Linked DNA regions of Xenopus tropicalis. The main gene of each other region encodes a partner of the protein of the gene in region 2 in a complex. Links are inferred from orthologs where the notes say so. Each region holds a gene or a part of one and is shown on either strand. Other genes may lie near its edges. The genes, in order: stk24, strn, stk25 and stk26.

Region 1 (5,671 bases), on a different chromosome or scaffold from region 2:
AATGGAAATATATGAACAATTTTTTTAACCTCTGCCAGAGACCCTCAGCTAAGGAACTGCTGAAACACAAGTTTATTATGCGAAGTGCAAAGAAAACCTCCTACTTAACAGAGCTCATAGACAGATACAAGAGATGGAAGATAGAACAGGGCCATGAAGCCTCCAGCTCAGACTCTGAGGAGTAAGTACCAATGAAATGACTTTGCTAGTGGTTTGGCTTACTTGTATGTAAGGTCAAAGCACTATTAATATTATAATAAGCCACTTCTTGCTCTTCTACATATCTGTGTTCAGCGGCACTAACTCTGTGTCGCTTCCTGAATTGCGTACATTGATGTAGGAAACCCTGAAGCTGCTGTCCCCTTCAAGGGTGCAGTAACCGCAGTGTTCCCATAGTGGCCTGTGTCATTTGATGCAGTGGACTTGCACCTAAAGAATCAGGGCACAGCCATTGTTTTAAAGCAGAGCCCCACCAATGTTGACATCTGAACCCAAAAGATTCTCAGCGCAAGTGTGTCTGATTCACATTGAACTGTACATGCAAAAATATGGCTTGTGCTCAAAATAAGCCCTTTTGTGTTCCTTCTGATGGTGTTTTCATTTAGAATGTGGGATTTATAAAGCAAGAATTGGAAATAGAAACAAAATGGAGTTACCACATGTACAGTGTAGTTGCCTTTGGAAGTGACTCCATCCCCAATGATTATTTCCAAATTTACTTCAGCATTAACTCTGGTGCCTCAGCTCATTAACACTCAATGAATTCCTCCTTTGACCCCATCCTACTGTTCAGTAATAATGAAATGAAATAAGTTGATGGCTTAAAAATACTCCAGAGCTGATCATTTTGTGTTAATACATATGTTTTTTGCTGCTTGCAAAGTAGTGGTTATCTTGGGTCAGCATTTGCTGCTCTGGGGGCTTCTGCAAGCAGTTTCAGTTGTCCCTGACAGCAGTGCAGACTGAGTGTCAAATCCTGGGGATAAGAGAAACTGGTAGAGAGACTGGTTGGGTATGCCAGTAGGAATTACAAATGCAGCTGCAAGCTAATCACCTTTTCTAAAACTGTGTGTGTTCTATGAAAAAATTGAAATAATTATAGTAATACAGGGGAAAATTGATCAGGCATAGAGTGCAGGTTCAGTAATAAGAAATAAACCTTGTATATATGTCTGCCTTTGCCCACTGTAAAGGGAAGAAGTAGATCAAGCTGCTGGCAGCGAGAAGGATTATTGGAACTTCACAAGAAGAAAGAGAGACTTGAAGAACTTGGAGCCCATTCCTGCACAGCCAGAAGAGGTAAGGCATAAAGTCTGAGTCACAAGAAAAGTTCCTATTGTCCAGCCATTATACTACAGTTTATATTAATATGAACCAATGACTTATAATGGTAAGTGCTTGCTACACTCCCCAGCCTTGCTTGATATGGGAAAAACATACACTGCCTATTACTTTAAATCTTATAATAAAGTAAGTGCTTAACAATGTCTCCCTCCGATGCTTTTAGGAGTAGTCAAGGCAGCATAATCCCTGTCTTTTTCATTTATTATTATAGCATTAATTGTATTGATGGCAGTAAGAGTCATGTTCTTTAAATGAACAAGAATGGAAAGGGTTATGTGCAGTACTCACCGTCCTCACTTCTCTTTGCTTGTATGTATATATGCTGTATATTAAGAAATATGAATTTTGTCTCTTTTAAATTAAAATAATCATTCTTCTAAAATGTCTGCTTACTGACGAATACTGATTTATTTTTTTTTACATTACATTTAAGGTTAAAGACATTCCCAAACGGCCATTGTCTCAGTGCTTATCTACAATTATGTCTCCTTTATTTGCAGAGGTAGGTACATTTTGTCTATTCTTTGGCTCATTCTTGTTTTAATGAGCAGCTGCCCCTAAGGGTAAGACTGATGCCACATGGGGCTGATTCTCGGCTTGTTGAAAAATGCAGACCAAGAATCGGCACCCTTCGCTGGTATCAGCTGCCTTCTTTGCCTTCACCTGGAGCCATTGTGTTGCCCAGGGTGCAGGCACATGCAGGAGATATTGGTAAAGAAATGCCGCATGTGCCCAGACTCGCACATTTGTTCTGGGTGCAGCCAAAGAAGAAGGCTGATGCCAGCTTAGGGGCTAATTCTCAGACTTTCCCACAGACCGAGAATCATCCCAGTGTGGCATTAGCCTTAGACTTTTGCATTTTTTTCTACTTTCAGCTGAAGGAGAAGAGTCAAGCGTGTGGCGGGAACGTAGGCTCAATAGAGGAACTGAGAGAGGCAATTTATTTAGCTGAAGAGGCCTGTCCGGGTATCTCGGACTCCATGGTATCACAGCTTCTTATTAGGCTTCAGAGGTGAGAACTAACATTTTGCATGGATTTGTTTCTTGCTGATCACATATATCAATGTGTGCGTGAGTGTTGTGTATTTCACCGTGACCTGGTTCTGCATAGCAATAGTTTCAATTTAGTATTTACCACTTGTTTTGCCACCGGGACACCACACAGTAATAGAGAAAAGACAATTTAGTTGGTTAAGGAGTCAAATTTCACACAATTTAATTCAAAGCTTTATACTTAAATGAAACCTTTGGAGCACACAATAACCCAGACAGTAATTTAACTTAATTGTTTCCTTTGGAGAGAGTGGGACCTACCTAGATTGGATTTGGTATGCCGAATGCTTGGAACTTTTTTTTCTTTGCTTCTGTCTCTTGCTCTAAGGCTAAAATATACTAAAATGATATAGTATATGTGACCCCCCCCCCCCCCCCCCCCAAACTTGTAGGCAATAATGAATAATATGTGGTGCAGATTTCACTCAGGGCTAAAAATGATCATTATCTTTAAAAAATGGCCCCTTTTATTGGAGCTCCCTGTAGATTTGCCCTCTCCTTGTTTCAAATAAGGTGTACCAGAAGCACAGTAGAAGCGGGATAGCCAATCACAGCCCTGCAGTCACACACACAATGGCAGGTTTCAGGTCCTTATCAGTTACACCTAGCTGCTGATTGGTTCCTGTCCTACAATGCAGTGTGCTAAGTGCTTCTGGTTCCTTTGCACAGCCTGGGAAAGGAGGCAGTAGGAAGTGAAACAGATGGGTGGGACTGTTTTTGGAGAACTTTTCAATAAATCAGCCTTGCAACACTTATTTTTAAAGCACATTTCTTCTATGTTTAGAGGAGTATAATGCAGTGGCACATTCTAGTTTTTTACTATGGATGTACTAAATCCAGGATTCGGCCTAAATTCAGCTTTTTCCACAAGATTAGGATTTGGCAGAATCCATGCTCCTGGCTGAACCAAATCTGAATCCTAAAAATCATGTGACTTTTTGTCACATAAACATAGAAGTTGAAAATGTTTCACTGTCACTTTGTGTGCGGTTCTCCTTAACCCTTCCTTTTCCTAATCGTCAAATGCAAATTAGGATTTGGGTTGGTTTTCGGACAAATCTTTCACAAAAGAAGAGGATGGCTTGGTTGGCGGAACCCCAGGCTGGTGCTCCAGACTGCCAAAAACTGCACCGGCCCTGGGTTCCTTCAACCAAGCCATCCTCGGGCAAGTGATTACAAACGCTGGGCGTACCAAACGTTTGGCAACCAAAATAATAACCAAAATAATTGGCTGCCCTTCGTTACTCCTTTCCTATTCTTGCATTACAGGTATTCCGTTAATGGAGTGGACTCTTCCTCGCACTGAAGAATGTTTTCCTCCTTTTTAAGGCAAAAATGGACCTTGCATTATTATCCCTATCGTACTTGCCTCTGCTCATGGATATCACAGGACATGGACATTCCTGAATGATGAGTGACTAAACATAGGGAAATGGTGAAAGCTATAGTTTTTATGATTTTCTTTTCCTTTTTTTTTTTCTAATCATAGTACGAATATATAAAAATGTAAAAACAAAAAACTCTGCAAAGTACTGTGATAAGGCAAATGAAGATATTGTGAAACCTCAGGTATCTTGCTTTAAGCAGTCAGTTCTGCTGGAGATGGAATGAAAGCTCTGTGCAATTCTTGTACAATAAATTACTCCATCAGATGCCTCAGCCTTCCTTCCTCAAGCGGCTGTCAGCTCCCAGCATGCCCCAGCAGTTGAAGGGTATGAATACTGGGTAATGCAAATCACAGCAGCTGGAGGGACGTGGGCTGACATCCCAGCTTTACAGTTGACTATTTACTAGAGTTTGCCAACCTACAAACTGACCCAGGGCATCCCTAGTTGCAAGAGGGGAATGGAGCCACACACGCTTTGTGTATGGATTTCATGTTTGGCAGCCATACTTATGTTTTATGTTCATGGTTTAAGTCAAGCGCCAAGTGAGTTTTGTTACCTACATATAGAAGCCCCTTTGGACATCTGTTAGATAAAACCAGTTTAATGTTTTGTCAGAATACATATGACATTGTACAGTATTGCTATTTTCTTCAGAACACACGCAGTGGCATTTAGATATGTCTTCAGTACATTTATCGATACATATTATTTGTATATACTTTAAAAGACAGAGGATCGGTACTGTCACAATGGAGTTTTAATGTTTTTAATTTATAGATATGTCTGAAATATGTAAGGCACAGCCTCATCACTAGGATAAGTTATGAGAATATTATAACCCTATACGTACAGAAATGCCTGCAGTTACATCATTCTATACGTGTCACTGATTGGTCTGTGCAGACAGCGGCGGAGCAGTGTCTGTAGCAGGGAGGATCCTGTGACTGTGGGTGAGTGTGAATGGTGAGCTAGTGTGACAGTAACACCGTGTCAGGGCTATCCTGCGTGCCACCCTCCAGCTGCTGAACTACAACATCCAGCACCCGCAACAGTCACAATGTGCTGGCAGTGCCCCCTGCTAGATGCCACAGGTTTATATATAGAGCGAACACAGTTGAAAACTATTATTGTATTTTCATTATTTCGTTTTTTTCTGCTTTCCCTGATAACATTCCTTAGTTAGTGGGCTATACCTACTAAGCAGGAATGCCAGCATTGCAAACCACATATGCCTAGAAAACTGCAGCCCTATATGGGCTGGGCATTGCCTGGTGTTAGTGTTTCTCCAGGCGATGGCAATACAGCACATACCCAGTTATTACAGCTGACTTCACTTTCATAGACTTGGCACTTGCATTATCACCTTTCATGCCAGGAGTCCATGCTTCTTTTCAGTAGGCCTTGTAATGATTTCCATGTTTACATAACCCAAACATTCTCTCAGCTTTGCTGTATCTATGTTACCTGTTGCTTAGAGTTCAGTTTATGTAGACACAAAAAGGGTTTTTGATGAGAAAAAGGAACCTGTTCCCAGCAGGAAGTTGAAGAGGCTTTTCATTTAAGCATGATTGGTTGGCTATGTGCATACCAAAGAGAGAGGAGTTGTTAGCTTGGCTGCCCCCACCCTCCAAGTAATTTAGTCACTGGAACAGAAATAAAATGATTTACTTCTGACCCAAGCTAAATATATGAATGGGCTTGGGTGAGTGGGATAGGAGCTTTTAATTTTTCTTTTACAGAAAATACATGTATTGCAAACCTTCATTTTCTAATTTAAAAGGACTTGCCAAAAGCCTGTAGTCCGTAATTTATATTTTTTTTCGTTGGTCTATCACCATCTACAACCACTAAACAATTATTAATTGGTAATGTTGGGTTTTTCTGTA
Region 2 (5,671 bases):
AAAAACTGAAAATAATGTAAAGAATCCATCAACTACTTTAAATGTTAATTGAATTACCTTGGTTTTCATTGAATGTGCTTAATGCAGGAGAGACTTCAGCAGCATTCCAGATTCGTATTGTTCCATCTGCAGAGGCTGACAATAAACGTTGATGTACTGCACTATAAACTAATCCCCAAATAGAATCAGAGTGGCCCTCGTATGCTCCTCTCAGAACAGTAGGGTCTGTTTTTAAGGGGAAAAAAAAAAAAAGCAAACATTCATACATTCAACAGCATTATTCTAGACACAGGGACTTTAAAATTGTCTCTCTCTCAAAACTTGCTTTGCCTTAAAGGGGACCTGTCACCCTAAGAAATAACTCCAAATTATTTAGCAAAATAAACTTTACTTACACTATATAAATAATACAAATCTTGTTTCCTTCAGTCTTGGAATTACTCAATCAAAGCAAGCAGGCAGGCACCATTTTGTGGACACTGTTATGAAGACAAGCTTTGTATCATGCCAAAATCTTGTTTATGTGCCAGAATGGGGGACCAGATGCCTATGCCCATGCACTGGCTACACAATTAGATGATGAGGAGGGAGGGGAAAAGTGAGATGTGCACTGCCCGCCTCTATGCCTAAGGCATAGAGGCGGGGCAAGCAATGTATGATTGACAGCTGGGATTTTTAATTGCCTTTATAATGGGTTTTGATGTGTTAATATAAACATGAATTTGGGTTTCATGTTTAATTTTAAAAGGACTTTTATTATACAGCTTTTTATGTCTGGGTGACAGGTCCACTTTAAGATTCTGAATGCCATAATGAACTTGCTCAGCATCACACAAAGTCGCTTCCCTTAAAAGATAATGCTAGTACGGTACCTCAAAATAATTAATTTGGTTTTACTCCTCAACCATTGTCCATTAGCTCATTTGTAAATACCATGGAATAATCGTACACTGACTTATTAAAGCAGCACACTAAACAATTTCTAATACACATTAAACAATATCCAATATTTCAGTTGGATATGGTTATTTATTAACACTTTACAATCTGTGCACTTCTTTAATTTGCAACATTGTTTCAAAAGTCGGAACTGAAAGGCATAAACAAATCCTGAGAAACCAATGGGGTTTGGGAGTGGAAAAGGCAATATACTGGTCGTTATAGCAAAGGCTGTGTTTACTTCTCCTTTAATAGCCAATGCACTGTGTTGTGATCTCATCAGCACTGAGAAGAACAAGGGGCATATGTGCTTTTTAAGTTTGTTTTTACCCATTAAACAGAAAATTTGATTTTAAAAATTGTGAAAAAGTGCATGAATATGATGAGTTTTGATGTCCCTCTGCTGCAAACTGCTAAGTTTGTAACATACCATAAGAATCATATGGATCCACGTTGGAGTTAGGAGTATTCCAGCTCTGGATAACACCATCTGTTCCTCCACTGTAACACTGCTCCCCATTACTGCTCATTACTACACAAAGTACTGGGCCCCTGGAAAGGATAGGATGCTTATTTGAGTAATTAATTAAAAACACGAAAAAACAAAATTCAACGTTGAGTAGAAGATAAAAATAACCTATCAGCAATTACTTCTGACAATTGAAAATATTGCTTGCAAGGTGATACTTAGGCGCAGTCAAATAACACTAGTTCTAATCCAGTACAATGTCTAGCCATTCTAGATATTTTACTGCCTTACCTTAAAGAGCACCTATTGAGGATATCAATATTGAATATTAATGACTCTGCCATCCTTAAAGTTAATTTGAAGGTTAAAACCCTTTTAATGAGAGAGTCTCCCTACTAGCTCATTATGCATGTGGCATCAACTCATCAATGGCACGGGCACAAGCACATTAAATTGGCGCAGTGTACTGATCACACGTCTGCCACAAGCGAGAGATACTAAACACTGATATATGATTTAATAAGTCAAATCAAACTTGAATTAATCTTAGAACATGTTCAATTTGAAGGCAGTCATGTGCATAAATTATGGACCTTTGTTACACTGCGGTTCAAGCGGATAAATACAACAGGCACCAGTTTACCATGTTAGGAAATACCTTAATATAAAAGGGACTAAAAAAACATATATTTCAAATATAGTCTCTTCTTTGAAAAGTCATTGGTGTATGATGCATTTAATTTAATCAATGCCTAAATATTTTACTGCACAGCTATTAAAAATTTCTCTTAATCTTTAACTTTACCCATTACCACAAATATAAACGGTGATCTAAATAGAAACATTAGCAAAAAAGAAAACCTTGTTTCTTACCTGTGCGCCCTGAATGTGTAAATTGGTTCTATATCAAGGGATGTACTCCTAAAAGAGAAAAAGTGTAATTTATATATGTAACTGACTTGTCTATTTTATAGTTTTTTTGCAAAAATTATTTGAGTGTAATAAATGGCCATAAACTGGTCAACCCTCCACAGTATCTGACCAATCAGCCCTTGTGCAAAAAGGCTGGATACTATATGGACTGGTCATAAACATGGACAACCACATTCCATCTTTCCATTTATTTGGGCTAACAGCCCAAACTGCATGAAGTGAAGAGGAGCTACAACCAACAAGGTGCAATGGAAGAAAGAAATTGTCAGTACTGCCTAGGACACACTATGGTAATAAAAATCAAAAACAGTGCATAGTTTAAGCACAAACATACTTTTTTGCTGGAGCAGTCTTTTGGAGATTCCACATTTTTAAAGTGTGGTCTTCTGATGCTGTAATAAGCACTGGCTCTGAAGGGTGGAAGGCGAGGCCACGTATGCCATCAAAGTGACTTCTCAATGTGAATTTAGGGTTCCATGTTTTCCTTAACGCATCCTTATTGTTGGCAATCTTGAGAGAGAAAAGACAACTCACACATCTTTATAGTTTTATGTAAAAAGGAATTATATACAAATAACTTTAACAATGCTACATAACCAAATAATACACCTACCTCCTAAAGGTAAAACCAACCATACGGCAATATTTTGAATCACAGCCTAAAATATAGTGATCATAAAATCCATTTCCTATAATAACTTTCTAACAACTACTTCCACTGTTTTTTGCAAGTGTAGTTCACCTTAAAGTTAACTTTAAATACATTATTAATAGTCCTATTCTTAGAATCCTTTTACGTGGACTGTTTGCCTTCTCTTCTGCTTTTTTCCAGCCTGCATTTTAAAATGCTATCTAGGTGTCTGGGGTCTTTGGCGTAACTACAGCAGCAAAGGGCTGCTTTTTTATTTAATTGCTTATCATTATATTGATAACCTCTGCTGCATCTTTCAGTCCGTTACAAAAATCTCTGGTTGCTGGCATAAATTAGACCGTAGCAGCCTGATAGCTTTTGAAATTTCATTTTGTAGAGCTAAAAAAACCTAAATAAAAAAATGATCTCATAATATCTCATATCACTGACTACATCATACTCAAAGTTAATTTAAAGGTGAACTAGCCCTTTACATTGTACAACACACAGCTCCTCTATGACAGCTTTCAAGAGAAAAACACAGAAAGGAAAAAGAGACATCAGTATATCTAGTAGTGGCAATTATAAGTCAACTGGACTTGCTCAGTAATCTTGACACTGTGTGACAGCTTATTTGAGAGGCTTCTTTAGTTTAACTGAACTGATCGATCAAAAACCATCATAGGTACATAAAATGTAATAATTAAGTGTTCAGCTATAAAAAGACATAATGCAATCTATTCTTAGCTTTCTAAACAACATAAATAACAATGAAAAGCAAATATCAGTTTATGTAAAAATTATTTGATAATTCTTCCCTCTGAAGGAGAACTTACATCATATGTCAAAGAATCTGCTTCATTGGCAACTGTAAGTCCAGCCAACTCTCCAAGTCCAAGCTCATTTTCTAAAGCTTCATCTGCTCCCATGATAAAAGATTTTCCAGATGAGGGTGGAAAAGTTAATGCTTCCACTGAAAAAAAGACAACACACGCTTGTTACTTTTAAAAGAATGTGATCTTTTATGTGGAAACGCAATATCCAGAAAGTGTCAAGTAAAGCAAATAATTTAAAATGATCAATTTCCCAATTTTACAATGGTAACTAAGCTGCATAAAACCATATTGGGGAGAAAAATGTCCTCAGAACTTGACTTCACTAGACATCTACCCTTCATCTGTGGCGCACTCTGAAACTTTTTTACCTTGGTCCTGACTTCTGTAAAAGGCCTCAATAGTGGTCCATGGCTCCAATAGTGAACAATTTCCACTTAAAAGGGGCACATGACAGGGATGCCCCCTGTCCCCAATGCTCTTTGCCCTAGCTATGAAGCCATTTGCACAAGCAATTAGACAACACCCCAATTTCACGTGCAAGAGAACATATACAATTATGCACAGACAATACTTTAGTATATTTGGGTGATCAAGGACTTTCCCTGGTAAGTCTCCTAGGCCTAAGCACCACATTTGCTCAAATTAAGGGTGCTGTTACAAGTGCTGCTAAATAAGTAAGTTATTCTACCTGTGGATCCAACCTTCCCCAATAGTCAATCAATTTACCTATTTGGGGGTAGTGATCAAACTACCTATTTCTGGATACTATAACGTAAACATACTTCTGCTAAAAGATTTCATAACTAACAAAAGCAAAACTTGGAAATCTTTCTTAATAGGCCCAATGGGTAGAATACAACTTAAAAAGGTGATACTCCTTCCCTAACTAACTTATGGTCTCTGGCAAGCCCCTTGCCCAATTAGTCTTTAGTGTATCTTTGTCACATTATTTACACAGCTGATTTGGGGAGGCTCCCGCCCTTGTCAACTAAATACCTTGACTAAGTGTTGCTTTCCCCAATATCTTTTTGTACTACACTGAGGCTCAATTAAGCCACTTGGCAGCTTAGGTGGAAAACGCAAATCATCAGTCAGTTTACCAACGTCATAGCACATTGCTGGGCTCTACCTGTACCAATCATGTTGTGATTTTTGTGCAACAAGTTTGCCAAAAAAACAGTCCAACTAATGCTGTTTACTAATATACTTCCTTAGACCCCTTTCTGGAAAAATGTCTGCTTTCCTAATATTGCTAAGCTGGGAAAAAACCTTATGTTGGAAGGGTGTGGTATTCTCACCATAGGAGATGCTTGGCAAAGGTGAACAATGGCTTCTTTTGATAGACTTAAGCAACAGTTTCCATTACCTGCACATTAATGGATGAAATACTCTCAAATTAAGAGATACCTAATGGTGCAAAATAATAAAAACACTATTCAGCTCAGAAAGTCACAATAGTGGTGCATAACAGGAAACCACTTTTATTACACTTAAAGGAGAAGGAAAGGCTATTAAAGAGTTATTTTCAACCTGTAGGCATACCTTTAGTTCTCTCAACAGTGCCCTTGTGTCTCCCCATATTTCTCCCATTCAGATGATCAGAAGCCTCATAGGAAAAAAAAACCACTGAGCTCTGTAAAGAAAGTTCCCATAATGCCATGCTCCTGCACCAAGACCGGTGTACATGCGCAGTTTGTAAGATTATGAGTCAGCTTTCTGCTGATTGGCTCAGATCACACATTCCTAAGGGGGAGGGAGTTCTTAGCATTCTTGAGGGAGGGGGCAGCAGGAGAAGGGAGAGAGCTGCGCAGACTCTGGCACAGGAAAACAAAGACAATAAATCCTGTTTCTTTTTACAGAGAA
Region 3 (6,465 bases), about 76 Mb from region 2:
ACAGATAAGACACCATTGTATTCTATAGGGTTTATCTGTTAGCTGCTATATAACCTGTGCCTTTTCTTCTTTTTAATGGCTGCCCCCATGGTTACACAGCAGGGTTTATATAAACTTTACTAATGTTTATGAAGCAAACACAAAACAAAACTTTTACCAGTGCAGGGCAGCAGTACATTATAGTTTAATTTCTTTGAAATATATAAATTTTTTGGTGTTACTGTTCCTTTAGGGCTCTGGTACACGGGGAGATTAGACGCCCGCGGCAAAACTCCCTGCTCGCGGGCGACTAATCTCCCCGAGTTGCCTTCCCCCTGCCATCCCACCGGCGAACATGTAAGTCGCCGGCGGGATGGCAGACGCGGCGGCGCGATTCTGCGCAAATCGCCGAAAAAGACTCGTGAGGCTTTTTCTGCGATTTCCCGAAATCGCCCCGCCGCGTCTGCCATCCCGCCGGCGACTTACATGTTCGCCGGTGGGATGGCAGGGGGAAGGCAACTCGGGGAGATTAGTCGCCCGCGAGCAGGGAGTTTTGCCGCGGGCGACTAATCTCCCCGTGTACCAGAGCCCTTAAGCAAACTAATATCCTGTTTGAGAAACAGCCTCATTTAGGGTCAAGTTTAAGTACTTACATATTATTTTAGAGGCTTATATTATAGGGTATATCATGCTATTTGTGTTATTGCAGAAGCTGTCCATCCAGAGGATGATTTCTTAGGGCTCAAAGGATATTGATTTCTAAATTGATGTTTAGCTAATGCCACATAGGGGCTTATTCTCAGTGTGCGGATAAACACACCATTTCAGCCTGTGATAAACCAACTTAACCAATCACTGATGGCGTTGGTGGGAACTGTCTTTTGTATTATATATAATATATATTATTTGGTCAGTATGCACTAATGGCAAAAATTGGCATTTAAATTAGCATTAACTATTCTATCCTGAGTGTCATAAACAGAGTAAAGTTGTAAAACTCTTAAAGGGGACCTGTCAGCCACACATAAAAATAATAATTAAAAAACATGAAAACCAAAATTATTTTTTTAATTAAATCATCCATATCTGTTATAAATGAATTTAAAAATCTGAGCTGTCAATCCTATATTGCCTATGCCTAAGGCATAGCGGCCGGTCAGGCACTATAGGATTGACAGCTCAGATTTTTAATTACAGTTTCTTTCCATTTAGCACAGGCAGCATTGAAGCATTTGTAAGAAGGTGGAAAAATGATGCATTTGAGTGCATTTGAATGGAACATATGTTTGGTTAATAAGTGTGATAGTGTGTTAAATGGTAATACAAAAATGTTATGTGTTAAGTTGGCCACCAGGTGGCAGCAGAGTAATATAGGTTTAATAAAAAATAGGGTAAGTGTACTTCATACCACCAGCCACCAGGGGTCAGTCTAGGCAGAAAAGTATAAAGTATAAAAAAGGGGTTGTCACCTGGGTCCAGTTGTCTTGACTGGAGGGCGTGGCAGAGATAACATCATCTGTAGGAGGGTAAGTCAGACCTGGCACCAGTAGGGGAGGTTTAGCTTAAAGTAAGAGTGAGCACTAGGTGAACCAGACAGACAGGTAAGTGAGCATGGGCAGCCCAATGCCCCAACATCATGGGGTGGGGAAGAGGCAGGCCTTGGGGTCTGCGATTGGCCAGTTGCCTCGTCAATGTTACTGGGCCCTGCCTGGTTTTCCTAATTTGAGAAACCAAGCGGTAGGTTCAAACAGGTGGCAACCCTACTGGTGGGACAGTCGGACACTGTATGATTGTGTGCATGAATCCTCTGGTGTCCCGAATGAAAAATAAATGTGTCACTTTAGTTTAGACATAGTGATATTCAATCAAATAACTGCCTGTCTCTCCTACACATTGGTTTAATAGAATCATTAAATGTATAAAATGTAATTACAGTGCTACTGTGCTGTTCTCTATATACATGCATGCCTCTGATAAAGGCGCTGGCCCCACCAGTAGGAGAAGTCTGGGAAAGTAGGCGTGGCCAAAAAATTCACTCCCTCTCACTTAAATGTTGAACAGTAGGCAATGAAATGGAATGATAGTTATGGCCTCATTTTATTTTAGTGGCACATGAGGTGACATCCCCCCCACAGTGTTTTCCAGCCATGCAATGTCCAGCTCAATGTCCAGATGTGCACAATAATGTTCTCCATTGCCACTTCAGTGACTTGAATGGTTAAACACCTGGATCCAGCAGGTGCACTTGTGGCTCAGGAGAAACATTCACTGCCACAGTTAATAGAAATAATTGCATGGCCATTGAGCACATTTTAGGCTTTTTCAATTGCAGGGGTTCAGAATGAATTCAGGTGCTGGTTACAGGGGTTAGATGATTGGGCTGTTACTGACAGTGACTGACAGGGCTGCTCTTAGTGACAAGCTTGGCACAGGCGGCAGTGAGTGGCCAATTACCAGCGATGGCAAAAACAATCTCTGTTTTTAAATAGTGCAATAGCACAGTCTCTGTACTAGCACTTCTGCCCCATATTGACCGGCTCTAAAGTAAAAAAAAAACAAGCCCAGAGTGGGTAAGGGGGGGGGGGGGCAACAGCCCCCAAAAAGCACCTGGTGACTGGCCAGGGCAAAGGAGGGTGATGAAAAAATGACATGTTTGTGGATCTGTGTCACAGATATGCCTTTATATAATAGTGCCCAGTCAAAGAAGTCACCGCAACTGTATCACAATTCTCCTCAGAGATTGTTAATAAAGCTGTCTTGTAATAGGCAGAACGACCACTTGTGCAAAATATAGTGCTGTCCCTTTAAATCCGAGAGCGACAGCTGCTGGTCACATGTTCTGTACTTCCCGTTCCTATGCTGTGTATGTAGAGCAGCAGGGCTCCATCTTGCAGGCTGCTGTTTGAAGTTGCTGTATTAACACTTAGTCAATGCTTTTTCTTTACAGTATTGTTTGTGTGTGCGCCGGTGCCCTGCCTCCTCCTCACCCACATGCTCCAGGGAGTCTCCTGTGTCAGTAAGCAGTGCTAACGAGGGACAAGACATGGTGTCAGCAGCTGCAGTGCTAGCAGGGATCTACAAGCAAAGTACCACAGAACTGTAAGTAGTTCAGAAGGAACACACTCTGTGTGAGCAGTTTAACCCTTCCAATCCCTTACCATTCCCTGTCAGCCTTAGTGGAAACTGCTGCTATATCTGACTGGCACTTGGAAATATCCACAGGAAATAGCAAGTTTGTTGCATACTATGGGGGACTACACTAAGGGCTATATAATAGTAACAATATGGTAAATAAGCAGGGCTGTATCTGTAGTACAGGTTTTGGAAGTCTTCTCCCAGGGCTGGAAATAGGGGTAATGATACCCCTAGTGCAGGACCTTGTTACCCTACTGTTTACCTAGCCCCCCCACAGGCAATGCATACTCATACTCTTTGGCAATTGGTGCATGCTGATAACCCAGAAATGTGCCCCCCCCCCCCCCCCCCCACCAGCTGCTCCTCTAGATTTGACCACAATCTAGGTGACTGGCATGGGTTGCCTTCGAGGGCCTATATAAATATGGCCATCCAGAATTACCCACAATGTTTGAACTACTAGCACAAAATGTGGGCAGCATGGTGGTGCAGTGGACATAGAATTGCTGCCTGTTCTCCCTGTGTTTGCATGGGTTTCCTCCTGGTACCCCAGTTTCCCACAACTCAAAAACATACAGGTAGGTTAACTGTGTTCTGATAAAGCTGACTGTAGTGTGTGTGAATGGCATGTGTCTGTAGATTTGCAGCTCCATAAGAAGCGCCTAAAACATTTGTTGTTATCCTTTTAAAAAACACCTCAACCTACAGAGGTAACTCCAGTCATGTATAGAAATAATCTTATCCTGCATTAATCTGTCCCGTGTGGCAGGAGCCTATTACGCAAAGACCAAATAAAAGTGAAGAAAAGGTTTGAATGGTTACAAATAATAATAACCCCCTGCAGCAGTTTCCTTATATTCTACCTCTGTACTTCAAATTGTACATCTCTGTAATCCCATACCACATGTTACTTTTCTAACAACATTTTACACATCCTTCAAATCACTTCCCCCACAATTATTTTAATTATGAACCCCTGTTTATTTGGAGGTTCGTAATTAAAATATTTTGGGCATCATTTTCGATCAGATGCATTACTACTAGTTTCTTGGCATAGCACAAGACTGCTCTGATGAGAGAACGAGTTCTGTTCAGGGGCAATACATCTGCAACCAGCCCTAACAGGCAGATCTCAGGTGAGTGTAAACATGGGAATGCCATATTCTCAACTCAAGTACCAGATCACCTCCCCTCAAAAACTCTGTTTCGAGGGACAGTTTTACAACAAGTGTAGAAAGGATGCCTCTGGCTGCTGGCATCTCGGAAGCTTGGTCTCAGAGAAATTAATGAAAACATAACCAAAACTAGGGAAGGCTGTACCTATGAGTACTTGATAAAGCCTTGATGTCAGTTTCTTATTCTCCAGGTTGTGTAGGGGGTCAGTTTTACTGGGGGGAAGGTGGGGGTTAACATACTGTGCCCTGAATGCATGGTAAATTTGGAGATACCTACAGAAATGCAAATCTGGCTTCTTGCACTTTGTTTTGAGCTGCAGTAATGTGGGGTATGTGGGGAATTTTTAGAACATCCCTAAGAAACCTAAGGCCCAAGAGCAGCCAGTAGGAGCAGTCCTGAAGGGCTCTAGGGTGGGGTAGGTTACAGTTCATTCAAAGTGGTAGAAAGGGGGAGGGTACAAGAGGTGTGCGTCCAGTAAGTGTACATGCTAACCTCAAAGGGGCAGAGACTGTTGAGGGACAGTCATTGTAGTTGGCTATCCTTCTATATGGCAAACTTTTTACTGCCTCGGGAACCCAAATTTAATCCCAGGAGCAAGAGGCTGGGGTCCACCTCATCTATATGGAACCAACCATGTATATGATGAATTTGGCTGGCTAGGAAATAGTAGCCTAAATAAGGGAGAGCAAGGCCTCCTTTGTCAGTTGGAGACATAAGAGAGGTCCAGGCCATGTGTGGGAACTTATTAGCCCATAGAAATGGGAGCACAGTAGAATTGACATACCTGAATAGCTTCTCAGGGATCCATATGGGGGAATTTTGTCGTTTTTATAACAATATAGGTAAGTAAATCATCTTATATAAGTTGATTCTAAACTGCAAAGAAAAAGGCAGCTTAGACAAGGTAGTTGACAACCTGACCAATATCGTCTTCAGTAAATTAGAGTGTATTGGAGCATATGATGCCAAGGTATTTTTTATTACATTAAGTGGGGATCAAATAGGAAAAGTAGTAAATCATCAGCACAGAGGGCTGGGGGCACCCTTGGAAGTTACCCTTGCCCCCTTGGGATTGTCTATTAAGTTTTATTTCTTATAACCATAGTTAGGCCAATGTTTATCTATACACAGGGTCAGGGGGTCATCCTTTGAATTTACCCTTGCCCCCTTGGGATTGTCTATTAAGTTTTATTTCTTATAACCATAGTTAGGCCAGTGTTCATCTATCCACAGTCTCCATATTTTATCTAAGTTCTCAATAAAGCCTCTCTTTATAAAGGTCATAAAGGGATGGTATCCAATATGCACAATAGAAGGGGATGTGGTAGATTTCTGCTCTATATATCCCAAAGCTTTAGTGTGCTTGTGGTTCATCTAGTATAAATTGCTAATCAGGCTGTCCCATGGGTTGGCATCCTTAGGACCTTTCAGTAGATTATCCATTAGTTGTTATCCTTATTGTAAACTCTCTGCATTTCCAGAGCTCTAGGATGGATCCTGAGCGTCTTTTCACCAAGCTGGAGCGCATTGGGAAGGGCTCCTTTGGAGAGGTGTATAAGGGCATAGAGAATCGCAGTAAAGAAGTTGTAGCCATCAAAATTATTGACCTGGAAGAGGCAGAGGATGAAATTGAGGACATACAACAGGAAATTACAGTGCTGAGCCAGTGTGACAGTCCTTATATCACTCGCTATTATGGTTCCTACCTGAAGGTAACTGCATTTGCTTTTAAATAAAGGTTGTGATTTATAGATCTCTATATGGTGATAAACACTTTTAAACACAATACATGTGCATGTCTGCAGTTATTATCTTCTTAGCGTTACCTGTTTTGCAATATCAGCTCTAGAATGTCTGCCCGCATCTGACAGATTCTCCTCTATCCTCAGGGATCAAAGCTATGGATAATAATGGAGTATTTGGGAGGAGGCTCTGCTCTGGACCTGGTAAGGAAATATGTCTTAACTGTCTTTTGCATTATCCAGGTTCCATCCAGCAACTTGTCAGTTGGTCTTCATATTTTCTTTTTTATAGTTTTTTTTTTAATTATTTGCTGCCTTCTACTGCCTATTTTCAGCTTTCAAATGGGGGTCACTGACCCCAGCAGCAAAAAAACTATTGCTCTGTGAGGCTACAGTTGCATTGTTTTGATTTTTTTTTTTTTCACTAAAAAGC
Region 4 (6,388 bases), on a different chromosome or scaffold from region 2:
TCACTAAGGGCCAAAACCGCCCGCTGTTCTAAGTGTGCTGCTTTAACTGGCATGAATGCCTGTCTGTCACTGCACACAGAGGATAGGTTTTGAACAGTAAAAGCAAACTTTCTGGCTGAAATCCACTATATTTGTGCAGAAACTTAGTTTTTGGTTTCAGGCCCTCCCAGATTCATCGCTAGCAACCAGAGAGCAATAAAAAAATTCCAGACTTGAAATATACTGAACACAAAGCTACATAATTCAGAAATCACAAAATCATAAAAAAAAGACTAACTACAAATTGTCTTGAAATATCACTATCTGCTCCATAGTAAAAGCTAAAGGCAATCTACCACTTTACATTTTTGCCATTCCTCCATTTGTTACATTGTGTTGTCTTTCTTGTTCATGTGCTTAAAGAGGTTGTTCCACTTCAAATAAACTGTTAGTATGATGTAGAAAATGCTATTCTGAGACAATTTGCAATTGGAATTCATTTCTTATTATTTGTGGTTCTTGAATTATTTCAGCAACTCTCCAGTTTGGAAATTCAACATCTATCTGGTTGCTATGGTCCAATTTAACCTGGCAACCAGGCAGTGGCTTAAAAAAGACAATTATGAATAGCGAAGGGCTTAAATAGAAAGATAAGTAATGAAAAGTAACAATAACAATAAAGCTGTAGCCTCAAAGAGCAATAGTTTTTGGCTGCGGAAGTCAGTGACCCCATTTAAAAGCTGGAAAGATTCAGAAGAAAAAGGCTAATTCAAAAACTATAAAAAGATAAAATATAAGGCTCAATTAAAAAACTTGCTAAGAATAGGCCACACTATAACATACTAAAAGTTGACCTGAAGGTGAACCACCCCTTTAATGTGGTATTAAGAAAGTGTGTTACCAGGGCAGTGAAACCAAGACTACACAAAGTTGTTGTAGCTGGAAAATATTATGCAGACAGTGCTAGTTATTTTTAATGAATTAGTCACTAAGAAAATCCATATTTATTCATGTATATATGAAGATATCAATATCAATGAAAATAAATATATTTTCAGTGTTTTGTATTTTATTCTCAGTGTTATACACAAGCCTGATTTATCATTGTGTACATTCCCCTAACACCACTAACCAAGGAGCAATCAGGCACACCTATATATCTGTATAAATGCCAACATATTTTATAAAGTTTCACAAGTTTCACTTGTTGTTGAGGAATGAAACGGTAGAAAACTTCAACATGGAATTGTGGGACAATAAATAACTAACAAGTATTCTGATTTAATTATAGGCACAGGTCTCGAGAACAGGTCAAGTATAAAGAAAGTTAACAAGTGCACATACATTAGATACCTGAATGGGTCTATTCAGATAGATCCACACATGACCTGCATTTTTCCCCACTCTGACAAGCTACCAAACCCACAACCCTGTCTGCTACCTGCTGCCCACTCTAAAACACAGAAGCCATGTAATCAAAAAATCAAAGGTTGCATCATCAGAAAATACAGAAGGCTGGAGAGAAGCTATTTTGAAAGAAGCTGAGCAAGTTGCCATACACAACCCAAACCCCAATGTACCTACATAATTTGAACCAGCAGGACTCTTAACATACTTAACACAGAAAGGCCTTCACGTTATTGTGAATTAGTTATAAATAAAACAGAGATTAAAACAACAGAGATATATTGGGCCCCTAAACTTCCCAAAATATATGCATGTGGTAGAGTAAGCCCCACTTGTGCAAGGACAAATTAAAATGATAAACAGGATCTCAAAAGAATGCACAACATGTTTATGCTATATAAAGAATAATATTACTAAAGATCATTAAGTTTATGTAAACTATTAACCTCACTTTAAACTTTGGTTAAGGGCCAAAAGCTTCTTGATGCCCATGCTTTTTTAAAGCGTATATTTTAATTCCAAATATACAAACATGGCACCTAACTCAAGATTCTGTACTTAAATTGTCTTCATTACAATATTGTTCTTGGAAGTAATGTAAAATGCATATAAGAACATTGCTTGAACACACCTGTAAACCTAACAGCAATTCCAACATTGATGTATGAAGTGGGTACTATGAGTAACATGTTTATCCTCAGTAAAAGGGGTTGAGAACTTGATAATGGATCAGTTCAAGCTCATCACTGCAAAATATTAAATTTAGAATACTGACAATGATAAAAGATGACAATACAACTTAGGGTCATACATTTCGTACTGCTAAAGTGCCACACCACAAGCACCAAGAAGCCCACTGAGTGACTGTATAACTGGTTTATTTACACTCAGGGGTATAGATTTTGGAGTGTTTGGTGGGATGACCTGTGTGCCACATAGATTGGGCTTTTCTCTTTTTTGTTAGTACAGTATACATTAATAAATATAGCATTTATTGCATACAAGCAATACTGGCATACCCATAGTATTTAGTCAAGTGCCTTAGATGTCTTACATTACAGAATGAGGAAGACACCCTGACCATATTGATAAATGCATTCTGGCCAAGCCATGGATATGATACAGGTATAGGACCCGTTATCCAGAATGCTCAGACCAAGGGTATTCTGGATAAGGGGTCTTTCCGTAATTTGGATCTCCATACCTTAAGTCTACTAAAAAGTCAATAAAACATTAAACTCAATAGGATTGTTTTGCATCCAATAAGGATTATTTATTTCTTAGTTGGAATCAATTACAAGGTACTATTTTATTACTACAGAAAAAAAGGAAATCAGTTCTAAAATTCTGCATTATTTGATTAAAATGGAGTCTATGGGAGACGTGCTTTCTGTAATTTGAAGCTTTCTGAATAATGGGTTTCCGGATAAGGGATCCCATACCTGTACTTTTAAACGCGGGTAAGAACTAGCACTCAAAGCAAACACATTTCATAAATGATGCTGGGCAACTTGCGGGCAGCATATAACAGCCCTGGTTTAGCATAGGTGTGTTACTGTACAGTAATATTTACAGTATTGTGTATAAGCTCTCAGTGTATGCCCGTTTCAGACAGTGTCTAGACCCATGCAAACAGGAGTGAACTGATGACGTCTGTGCTTGGCTTGGGGTTCTTCTATCGTCTCTTTGAAATGTCAGTTCCATATACAGGTGCAAAACACAATCTATTCAGCAGATTTGCCTGAATCTGACACAGGGGTTGAGCGGTCAATGTTAGTCGCAAGGGTCACACAGGCGACATCCCTGATCTTATCTAATGACGTAGCAGGCGAGTTCCATGTATTAGTAAAGTGCAGAATTTCTGGGACGGTGTGGGAACCTTTACTCGGCTGGCCAATAACTACAGCAATCCAAGGTAGCAGACATTACCTCTTTGTATGTGTCAGGATGTAGAAAAGCCAAGCCGGCCCATACTATAGACACAGAACCTACCCTGGTCTAAGGTTCGATTCTTTATGGTACTGGCACTCAGCCTCTCAGTTCCGGATATACAGTGCCAATGTTATACACACAGCCCCCGACTGTGCCTAAGCTTCAAGTTCAGATTCTCCCAGCCCTAGCCCTTCTACTTGTGCCTAGGCTATAACTACAGGTATTGCCAACCCCTTGAGAACTGGCAGTGCCCAGGCTTTCCTAAAGATCCTGCTTAGGTACGACTTAGGTATCGTAAGATCCTGCGGGAAAGACTTTGCCCCATAGAAACGGGCAAGAGGTTTGCCGGCTAATAAAGCCACAGAGAAATCTCATTCGCAGCTCTAGTATGCTCTGCGTGGCAGCTCACCTGCATCCCTGGGACTTGCACGGCTACCGGGGAGTGAGCCATGGCGGGCGGCGTCAAGGCCTCCTACTCCGACTTGGCGGTGGGGTGCGAGCGGGGATTGCTGCTGCCCGCTGCTGCTCAAACACTGCTCTGGCTATCCGTGGCTATCCGTCTGCAGCCTGACACTGTGACCATTTCTCGGTGAAGGTCCAAGTACTGAAAGCCTGGGTAGAAGCTCAGCAAGCTCGGGGCGCCATATTGGGAGAGGACTGAAGGCTGCAGCTGAAGCCACGCAGGGTGGAGCCGCAGTCTGACTGAAGCCGGTCACGTGGGGTTGTGGTGATGTCAGGCGGCCCCGCCCCAAGCGATCATTGAGCGCTAGTATGTGAAAAGGTGACTAGGAAGATGTCATGCTACCTGGGCAGGGCTGGGAAGCTTTGCATAACGAGGCAAATCCGTCGCAGACTTTCCATTTTGTTATGTCAGTCATGCAGGGTGACTCTTACAATATCTCTGTCTGACTGAATCTGCTTTAATTTGGTATTGAACTGATTCTTCCAGAACCCTCAATGCCTCAATGGGGCTCTGCTCCTATACTAGGACTAAACTATCCTACTTAATAGGTGACCTTGGCTCTTCTCAAAGTAGGATAAATAGCCGTGCTTGTGAGAAAGTGTTCTGTAGGCTACAGCCTCCTAATATTACAAAGTTTTACTTTCTCATTATGAAGAAAGGTGGCGCGAATGTGTTATAGAAGACTCCACTTTTTACAATAACTGTTCTAAAAAGTGCAGAATTACTCTAGGTATCACACTTTTACAGTTATTGAATAAGAAGACTTAAGTAAAGCTTGTGGAGCATGTTCTGTAGAGGCTTAAAGGAGAAGGAAAGTCATTTTGGCATTTTACTGCCAACAGATTCACCACATTAGTGCCACCTAGAACACTATATTTATTCTGCAGAAAGCATTACCATACCTGAGTAATCAGCCCTAGAAGCTCCCTCTGTTTTCTTATGATTGCAGCTAATATACAGTTATCTGTTTACCAGCTAAAAATATACTAGAAGATCAATCTAATTTTTGGGCCACAATATATTCAGTATGTCAACAAATTCCCCTAGTGGCATGTTACTGCTGTAAAGACTGGCACAAACATTTTGCTACATTCTGTTCACATTTGCTTTTCCTTCCTGCATATTTTACACTACTGCTTTACTTGAATAGCCTCTTCATGTGTGATGGTGGTGGGACCCCTACCCATGATATCAGTCTGGATGTACACACTAAATACCAACTAACAAAGATTATAGAGATAGTAGAGAAAAGGGTTATGAGGAATGAGCCACTACATAATAGTACCATTGAAGCATGAAAGGTTTTTTTGTGTGTCTCTCTGTATACAGAAGTATGTTGTAGTTGACAAATGTCCAGCATCTGTGTTTAGTTGTGTTGTGTTGAATACCCCAACATACTGTTCTTCGACTTTGGCTTATTCTTCCGCTTCTTCTTGTTATTCTTAGCGCCCCCCCCATTTTCTAAACGCTACTCCTCCTACAGTTTTAGGGGTACAACACCCAAACTCGCTACACATCTGCGCCCTATAGCGGAGCAGGTTGCTTGTGCTTTTCTAAGCAATCCCGCCCCCCGTCTTTATGTGGCGCCGCTCCAATTTTTCCATTGACTTTGACAGGGAAGATTTTCAAACTGCTGCCGCACTTATAGCTTTGAAGCTATACCCCCCAAACTTGAATAACATAATCATGGGGTCACCCTGAATGAAACAGCAACATTTGTTGGATGATCCAAAGTGGGAGGGGCCAACAACAGCCAATCAAATTTCAACAGCCAATCAAATGGGGAAATTGAAACTGCTGCCAATCTTACAGCTTTGAGGCTACACTCCCCAAACTTGAATCACATAGTCATGGGGTCAGCCTGAATGAAAATAGGATGATTGTTGGATGCCCAAAAGTGGGTGGAGCTGTGAACAGCCAATCTGATTTTACCTATTGACTTGGTGGAAATCCAACCTGCTGCCATTCTCACAGTAATAACCCCAGGGTCCCCAAACTTTGCAGGGTTAGGTACCAGGTAACTGTGGTTCAAGGTAAGATAAAGTGGGAGAAGCCACCAACAGCCAATCAGAGTTTACTTATTGACTTTCAATAGGAAATTCAACCTGCTGCCATTCTCACAGAACACCAGGGTCCCCAAACTTTTCACAGTTGGTCACTAGTGGACTGCAGTTTTAGTTTTAAAAAGTGGGCGGAGCTACCAACAACCAATCAGATTTCACCTATTAATTTTTATTGGTTTGTTGCCAGGGTTCCCAAACTTTGCATAGTCAGACACTGGGTGACTATGCATTTAAAGGAGACATATCCTATAAAAATTATGAATGTGCCAGGGAATTATACTCCTCTAGATATAGAAGGATTGTGCTTAAAAAGTTGTGTTTCTGACTGATTTATTGAGAAATTCCACAAAAACCCCACTAGCCCCGCCCATCTGTTCCACTTCCTGCTGGCTGAATTCTCTGGATGAGCTGGGGAGCCGGCGGCTCTCAGTACCCTGCACTGTAGGATAGGAACCAATCAGCAGCTAGGCTGACCTGATAGGGAACTGAAGCCTGTCTGTGCTTGTGTGCCTGCAGGGCTGTGATTGGCTATCCCCCTCCTACT

Evidence for each region.
Region 1: strn (region 2) and stk24 share a complex: the UniProt entries of both Homo sapiens proteins name them as parts of the core of STRIPAK complex. The link is inferred for Xenopus tropicalis from reciprocal best matches to the Homo sapiens genes STRN and STK24.
Region 3: strn (region 2) and stk25 share a complex: the UniProt entries of both Homo sapiens proteins name them as parts of the core of STRIPAK complex. The link is inferred for Xenopus tropicalis from reciprocal best matches to the Homo sapiens genes STRN and STK25.
Region 4: strn (region 2) and stk26 share a complex: the UniProt entries of both Homo sapiens proteins name them as parts of the core of STRIPAK complex. The link is inferred for Xenopus tropicalis from reciprocal best matches to the Homo sapiens genes STRN and STK26.

The regions. Positions count from the first base shown.
Region 1 is NC_030678.2:121,399,265-121,404,935, forward strand, and holds the end of stk24 (serine/threonine-protein kinase 24), read left to right. Parts: intron 1-38; coding exon 39-181; intron 182-1,193; coding exon 1,194-1,299; intron 1,300-1,777; coding exon 1,778-1,846; intron 1,847-2,219; coding exon 2,220-2,356; intron 2,357-3,666; coding exon 3,667-3,703; 3' UTR 3,704-4,640; downstream 4,641-5,671. UniProt on the Homo sapiens protein: Serine/threonine-protein kinase that acts on both serine and threonine residues and promotes apoptosis in response to stress stimuli and caspase activation.
Region 2 is NC_030681.2:50,048,379-50,054,049, reverse strand, and holds part of strn (striatin), read right to left. Parts: intron 3,946-5,671; coding exon 3,809-3,945; intron 2,852-3,808; coding exon 2,676-2,851; intron 2,330-2,675; coding exon 2,282-2,329; intron 1,492-2,281; coding exon 1,370-1,491; intron 226-1,369; coding exon 58-225; intron 1-57. UniProt on the Homo sapiens protein: Calmodulin-binding scaffolding protein which is the center of the striatin-interacting phosphatase and kinase (STRIPAK) complexes.
Region 3 is NC_030681.2:125,795,592-125,802,056, forward strand, and holds the start of stk25 (serine/threonine-protein kinase 25), read left to right. Parts: upstream 1-2,851; 5' UTR 2,852-3,078; intron 3,079-5,771; 5' UTR 5,772-5,780; coding exon 5,781-6,002; intron 6,003-6,179; coding exon 6,180-6,236; intron 6,237-6,465. UniProt on the Homo sapiens protein: Oxidant stress-activated serine/threonine kinase that may play a role in the response to environmental stress.
Region 4 is NC_030684.2:67,410,321-67,416,708, reverse strand, and holds the start of stk26 (serine/threonine-protein kinase 26), read right to left. Parts: upstream 3,961-6,388; 5' UTR 3,770-3,960; coding exon 3,728-3,769; intron 1-3,727. UniProt on the Homo sapiens protein: Serine/threonine-protein kinase that acts as a mediator of cell growth. Modulates apoptosis. In association with STK24 negatively regulates Golgi reorientation in polarized cell migration upon RHO activation.